Linked DNA regions of Oryzias latipes. The protein of the gene in region 2 purifies or fractionates together with the protein of the main gene of each other region. This does not show direct contact. Links are inferred from orthologs where the notes say so. Each region holds a gene or a part of one and is shown on either strand. Other genes may lie near its edges.

Region 1 (3,920 bases), on a different chromosome or scaffold from region 2:
GAGTCGGCCTTCAGTGACGGGGGCGGAGTCGGCCTTCAGTGACGGGGGAGGAGCCGGCCTTCAGTGACGGGGGCGGAGTCGGCCTTCAGTGACGGGGGAGGAGCCGGCCTTCAGTGACGGGGGCGGAGTCGGCCTTCAGTGACCGGGGCGGAGTCGGCCTTCAGTGACGGGGGCGGAGTCGGCCTTCAGTGACGGGGGCGGAGTCGGCCTTCAGTGACGGGGGCGGAGTCGGCCTTCAGTGACGGGGGCGGAGTCGGCCTTCAGTGACGGGGGCGGAGTCGGCCTTCAGTGACGGGGGCGGAGTCGGCCTTCAGTGACGGGGGCGGAGTCGGCCTTCAGTGACGGGGGCGGAGTCGGCCTTAAGTGACGGGGGCGGAGTCGGCCTTAAGTGACGGGGGCGGAGTCGGCCTTTAGTGACCGGGGCGGAGTCGACCTTTAGTGACGGGGGCGGAGTCGGCATTTATTGTCTGGGCGGAGTCGGCCTTTAGTGACGGGGGCGGAGTCGGCCTTAAGTGACGGGGGCGGAGTCGGCCTTAAGTGACGTGGGCGGAGTCGGCCTTAAGTGACGTGGGCGGTGTCGGCCTTAAGTGACGTGGGCGGAGTCGGCCTTAAGTGACGTGGGCGGAGTCGGCCTTAAGTGACGGGGGCGGAGTCGGCCTTAAGTGACGGGGGCGGAGTCGGCCTTAAGTGACGGGGGCGGAGTCGGCCTTAAGTGACGGGGGCGGAGTCGGCCTTAAGTGACGGGGGCGGAGTCGGCCTTAAGTGACGGGGGCGGATTCAGCCTTTAGTGACGGGGGCCTTCGTGTTCCTTTCCATGCGTTCACCATTTTATGTATTGTGTGTGTGAATCATGAAGAACTCACATCGACTTCAGACAGCGTCTGCGTCCACTTGTAGTTGGGCAGATCTGCTCCATTCCCAGAGTTTGGCTTCAGCTTTCCCTTGTCCTTCTCGTCCTCCTCTTCCTCAGAATCAGACTGAAACACAGAAAAAGCCAGAGATGAAGCCTGAGATGAAGCTGTCCTCTTCATCACCAGCAGAGCGCCACTCACCCCCTTCTCTTTGTCTGCCTTGTCCGGCGTTTTCTCTGCGTTTGCTCGTCCCTCCTCCTTTTCGTCGTCTTTTTGCTTTTAAAAACACAGAAAGGTGAACATCACAGCGGAACTTGTTTTCTTTAAATCAACCTTCATAAAGAATCAAAGAGTTTACTTTGTCCAGCTCAGACTGCAGTTTCTCTGCTTCTTCGTCTGTCAGTTCCTGAATTCTGGGTCCATCTTGGTTTTTCCTCCTCTCCTCCTCCTCCTCTGCCAGCTTGGCGGCTCTTTCAGCTTTCTCCTTCTTTTCCTTCTCCTGTCTCATCTGCTTCTCCCTCTGGGCCTTCATGGCTAACTTGTTGTGGTGATCGAAGGCTTCTTTGACCAGCTGAAAGAGGACAGAGAGGCTGGTGAACGGAGGACAACACGTCCGTCCATCTCCAACAGGCAGAAGCTCCGCTCACCTTCTCTGCTGCACCAGAGTCTCCTCCGATGAAGAAATCTGTTTTACGTCGGAGGAAGCTGAAGAACGTGTTCACTAACTGTTGAAGCAAAAGCAGGCTGTGAGCTCAGGCCAAGGTTTTCTGCAGAGGACGGTGCAGAGCTCTCAACCACAAAGCCTCTCTGTCCTCCACACCCAACTCACCTGGACACTTTGGGATTAAACCGTCGCCTCAGGCTTTAAATTTAAACATTCCAAATGTTTCAGAAAAAGTATATTTTTTCTATTTCCCCAGCAACGATTATTCCTAACAAAACCTTAACTTACCACACAAAGGGCAAAAAGACTTCTGCTACACACAATACAGTCAAATAGTCATTTTGATGTCATTTTTTCAAGTATCTGACATGAGGAATTTAACATTGAGGAACAGACAGAAATCCTATTAGGTTATTTTATAATTCAGATTTTAAAAATGAATCAATTCACCACTGAGGTTGATGAAAAACAGTCATTTAGTCCAGAAAAAGAACAAATATATGAATTTCCTTTTGAGAACATGGAATTGCTTTGCAGTCAGTAACTAAAGCTGCTAACTGGAGGCTGATTGCAGACTAAAACTCTGGACTTCTGACGTAAACATGCTCCAAGAAGGCTGAAAAAGCTGAACTTTAAGAAAGAGACAAATGTCTGGTCAATTATGATAAGGTTAAGATATTTCTAAAGTAAAGCTTATTTAAATTACTGGTTCTCAAGAGCAAAGTTTTGAAAGATGTTATGTCCATTACTGAGAATACACAGGTATAGTATCCGGTCAAAAAACATCAAATTGAAGGAAACTGAACGTTTAGTGGGGATCTCCGTAAGGAAACGACTTTTTCATAGCAGAATAGTTAAATGAGCTCAAAGCAATGTGGATTTGAAACTGAAAATCCTCCAGACTTCCTAACGGTGTCAATGTTGACCAGGTGCTGCGGCTCCTCAGCATTTCAGCCCATCATGATTAGCTTCGGCGTTAGCATCTCGGATCTACGCACCTCCTGCACTCCTCCTTCGTGCTGCTGCGCCATAACCAGCAACATGCCGTCATACTTCTCCTCCTCATCGCCCATGTTGGTGGTGGATTCAGAAAAAGAAGAAAGACTTTTGGTAGAAACAAGAGAAAACTTCCCTCGGCGCGGCAGTGAGAGGCTCTGATCACGCTTGGCACTTCCTGGAAACAAAACTCCGCCCATGGCCGATTTGACCAATTGGAGCAATCCCTTTTAAATGACAAGTGAAATGTCCAATCCGATCGAGCTTCCGCTCAGGCGGGACCGGAAGTTCCCTGCGCAGGAAGGAATCTTCTAGATTAAAAGTCTGACAGTTTTAACTATAGATAAATTCTATTTTTACTTCAAACATTTTTAGACGCTATAATTTTATATTCAAAAAATGTTTTCATGTTTTGGAAAATATACCTTTCTAAGTTTGTGTACGTATTAGAAAAAGGGTTAAAACCATGGTTTTGAGGAGGATCATTAAACTTGACATGTGCCACATGTTAGCCATGCTTAAAACAATGCATAGTTTATTTGTCAAATAAAAATAAATCATTTGCCGTAAAAGCTTTTTTAAACAGATCTTTCCAAACAAACTCACTGGTTAAAAGCAATGTCTTTATTAACAAAAACAGGAACTCCATGCACATCATTTATGAGCCAACATCCTTATTCTTTTATTTCTTTGAAAATGTCTGGAGTGTTTTAGTCCGAGTACCTGCTGTGGAGACATTTTCTTCTACAGATAAAACCTGTGGTTTATGCATCAGTAGAGTTTGTTGTTTACCACTGCAGCAGATGTGATGGGCAGCGGCGTGACGTCATCATACCACGGTTTAAATACAAACTATGTTTTTGGAAAACTTATTTTTCCAAAAGGTGAAACAGGGTTATGTTCTTCCAGCTGTAGCTCCAGGCTCACATGGAAAACCCCAGAGCGGAGGTCCTCTCATCATCTGCTCTTCATCAGGACAGGACAGGCAGGTTTCATGCTGCACTGAAATTCCATTTATTTTATAAAAAACGTAATAATAATAATGGATTGGACTTATCTGTGCTTTTCCAGACGGTAAAAGTGCTTATAATGGGTCCTTTATTCCTTCATGCTTGGTTGTAACTACTGATGTATCCACTGCTGCTCTGAGGCAGACTGACAGACAATTAAAAAAAAAAAAGATTAATTTCTCCTCTTCCTTAAACCTATATGTACAAACTTTTGTTCTTCTGCAGTTCTTCATGCCCACACTTCTACCATATTGTCTTGCCAAACTGTTTTATTCAAATAAAACCCTATTTTCTTTTGTGTTGCTTTTTAAAATTTAGGAATAGACTGAGTATTTATCTAAAATTCTTTGAAATCGGATGAAAAACATAATTCTTATAGTTTTTAGCAAAAAGTAAAAG
Region 2 (3,820 bases):
GAGAGGCAGACTAAACACAGCAGCATGGAGCGTCTTTGTAAAGGAAATCTATGGAACGAAAATAAAAGAGGGGGTCAATGTGCAAACTACTATAGAAGAGAAGCTACCAAAAAAAACTTTAAGTAACAAATGAATGAATAGGAAGAAAAACCTTTAATGTACCATATGTATCTGTGACGCAGCTTGTTGTAACTGATCAGCTGCTTCACTGATGGGGGATTTTTCCCTTCCGCTGCAGGGAATTCCTCTTTAACCTGTTACCTTTCTTTGTTTTTTTTTAGCGCCTTTAACTAGCTAAACTTCAGCTCTATTTTTTCCTGAGTTTGTGGAGATGGAAGTTGAGCTGCACACAGCGACCGGAGAGGTTGATGTTGTCGAAAAGTTGACAGGTTGTTGACAGGATTTTGATGTTCTTGTAGTGTTTATCATTTTTGCAAAGATGCTTAACTGTAACTCAATAAATAACAAAGCAATGAGAGGTAGAACATTTTTAAGTTGGTTTATCAAGGTAAACTATCTGCCTTTTGCCAAATCAAAGTCTCATTATTTCCCATGCCCTACACTGTAAAAACAGAATCTTAAAGTAAAGAGCCTTGTTTCAAGAAAGAATGTCTTATTTTCTGTCTTGCAAAAGAAACCATCTTATCAAGAAAGTTTTTCAAGAGTAAAATAGTCTTAGTTTGAAAAAAACATGTCTTAATGACTACAATTTTTACTCTAAAAATAAGAATTCTTGGTAAGACCATTGTTCTTACCCAATTGGCAGATTTTCTTTTTTTGCTTATTTAAAGAAAGTCTGTCAATTGGGGAAGATTGATAACTTATTTCTAAGGTGCCTGTTTTGCAGCACAAGAAAGAAATTATTCAAAACTTATATTTAATTTTTCTGCTTTTAGTGTTTCTTTGGGATGAAACAACATTTTATTTTAACAGTCAGCATAAAATTACTTCAAAAACATGTTGCTTTTACTGCTGCCCAGCATGGACTGGATCACTGGATCTGTTAAGACCAACTGCCGTAATTTCAGTCTGTATGGAGAATATAAAACACACACCTGTGGATTCATTTACTAGTGAAGAACCTAGTAGAGGTTCTGTGTCTGTGCTCTGAACCCACATCTATCTGGACGGGTCACAGGTTATTTGTCATGACAGCTTAGAACATCTTTTGCTTACCTGAGTAAGAATATCCAGCTGGCCTATAATGTGTTCCAGTGCGTTCGCTATGCCAGAAGGAACCTTTCCATCTGAAGTATGGCTGTCTGATTGATGGTGGCGTGAAGGCAGCTGTGTAGTCTGAGTTTGTCGGGTGGAAGAGGAGCTGATGCTGGGGTCCCTGTAGACTTGGGAATGAGCGGCTCTGCTGTGACTTCCATGACTGAAGCTCTGAGCGTGGGAAGCAGTTTGAGATTCCTGTCTGTTAACATGCTCTGCTGGTTCAGATGTCTGCAGAAAGAGAGGACAAACTTAAAGGAGGAAATAAAAAAGACCCCGCAATATTCCAGATGGGCTTCAGTCCTGAAAGGAAAAGATGTTAACTAGATATAGGTGTTTTCCATATGTTATCCACTGAGACACTAGAAAAATGTGCTAGAAACACTGAACGGGGGGAAACCGTTAACTAAAGGGTTAAAATGTACTTTTTTTTTTAATCTTACAAAAAAGGGGGGGAAAAATAAGTACACATGTGGAAAAATGTGTGTAAATCTGAATTTCTCAAGCCCATGAACAAAATGTGTGATTGACAGTAGAAGGCAAGACAGACGTATATGATTTATTATTATTTGATAACCCCTCTTAAAAAAGATTCAGGCTTTTTTTTTTTCTGGCCAATTTTGATCAAAACAGAGGAAAAAAAGAAAACTTGAAAGGATTCATGACATAAAAACTTGATTTGATTCACAATTTGATCCAAGTTGGTTTATTTGTTTTTCTCATTTCAAATCATGAAAGACTTTTTACTCAAGTTTTGTAACAAGCAAAAGTTACACTTGAAATAGTGAAAATAGTACCTTTTAGATAAAAAAAGATTCAAGATTCAAAGATTCAAAAGATTCAATGAAAAACAACAAAATTCCGATGCTACTCAATTGAAAAAGAAACAGTAGACATAAAAAGGATAAAAACCAACATAAAAAAGGAGCAACTAGAGCAGAAATAATAATGAATGAAAGGATTTTACAAATGAGTATTGCATCTTGTGGCTAAAGATCAATTAGATTTTGATTTTTAAAATACAGCTTTAAATGCCTTATGAATCTGAGGTTACAATAAGAGAGTGTAAATAAAGAAGGGTCATATTTTTAATGTTTAAGGGTGGATTTTCTTGGTTTATACAAATGTATTTCTTTTGTAGTTGAATGCAGGTTTGTTTATTTTTTTAAACGGTCTTCTGTCAAGCTGTGCCATAAGTTTATAAATCTAAAATCTCAGTTCTGTTTGCATAAAAACTTGGCCTCCAATTTGTATTTATTTATTTCTGCTCATATAATTGGAGAGCTCCATCCCACAGGCTTCTTTTTTATGCCCTTTTCTGTGAAATTACAGATATACTTGCCGCTCTACATAATCTGCGGTGTGGCTTCAACAGATCAATTACCAGCATAAAAAACACAAAGTATCTACGTAGAACCTGTAAAACCATTTTTTAAGAAGATGTAAATATGTAACTCATGTGCGGAAAAACCAGATGAATAAATTTGAACTCATCTTCTTTTCCTTTCGGGTTTTCCATTTGGGAGTCGCCACAGTGAATCTGCTTCCTCCATCTAACCCTGTCTTCTGAATCCTCTACTATAACACCAGCTACCTTCACGTCTTCAATCACTGCATCATATCCTCTTTGGTCTTCCTCTAGACCTTTTGCCTGGCAGCTCTAGACGCAGCATCCTTCTACCAATATATTCACTGTCTCTCCTCTGGACATGTCCAAACCATCTCAGTCTGGCCTCTCTGGCTTCATCTCCAAAACCTCTAACATGTGCCGTCCTTCTGATGTCCTCATTCCTGATCCCATCCATCTTGGTCACTCCCAAACAGACCTCAGCATCTTCATCTCTGCCATCTCCAGCTCTGCTTCCTGTCTTTTCCTCAGTGCTGCTGCCTCTAGGCCAAACAACATGGCTAAGTACATTATATAAATCATATAAGCTTAGTGACTTACATTTCTGTACTATTTCACACAGAAACCCGCAGAAACTCCTCAAAGAACATCACTCTCAAAGACCTTATGACCAAAACTTGGTAGACAGTTTTAGGTTTTTTCATTTTTGGTAGTCTTAGCCCATCCATGACTGGTTACACGCAGAGTCAAGCACTATATTAAACTCAGATGAGCTGTTGTAAATCTTCACCTGCCTCATCAAGTTTGTCAAAAAAACCTGTAAGATTTTTTTTGCACATTAAAATAAATAATAGGTAGAACATTAAAGGGATTAGAGGCTCACAGCAAGAAGGCTCCAACTCGCAAGTCCTGGCTGGGCGACCCGGAACAGACCACCAATGGGGGAGCTATCTGTGTGGAGTTTGCATGTTCTCCCCGTGCATGCGTGGGTTTTCTCTGGGGACTCCAACTTCATCCCACCATCCAAAAACATGCTGCATAGGTCAATTGGTTAATCTAAATTGTCCATAGGTGTTAATGCGGGTCTTCAGGGGTGTGTGATTTGTGGCCCTGAAACAGACTGCTAACCTGTCCAGGATGTTCCCTGCCTTCACCCACAAGTGGCCGGGATAGGCTTCGGCAACCCGGTGACCTCGAAAGGGATAAAACGGGTTTAGAAGATGAATGAATAAACTAAAGGGATTAGAATTCCTTTCC

What was found.
Region 1: the proteins of poc1a (region 2) and nudc purify together in Homo sapiens (co-immunoprecipitation; 3 studies listed by BioGRID and IntAct, with this or other methods). This does not show direct contact. The link is inferred for Oryzias latipes from reciprocal best matches to the Homo sapiens genes POC1A and NUDC.

The regions. Positions count from the first base shown.
Region 1 is NC_019869.2:25,831,879-25,835,798, reverse strand, and holds the start of nudc (nuclear migration protein nudC), read right to left. Parts: upstream 2,711-3,920; 5' UTR 2,589-2,710; coding exon 2,514-2,588; intron 1,577-2,513; coding exon 1,499-1,576; intron 1,423-1,498; coding exon 1,210-1,422; intron 1,128-1,209; coding exon 1,053-1,127; intron 978-1,052; coding exon 864-977; intron 1-863. UniProt on the Homo sapiens protein: Plays a role in neurogenesis and neuronal migration. Necessary for correct formation of mitotic spindles and chromosome separation during mitosis. Necessary for cytokinesis and cell proliferation.
Region 2 is NC_019863.2:9,992,025-9,995,844, forward strand, and holds part of poc1a (POC1 centriolar protein homolog A), read right to left. Parts: intron 1,447-3,820; coding exon 1,177-1,446; intron 1-1,176.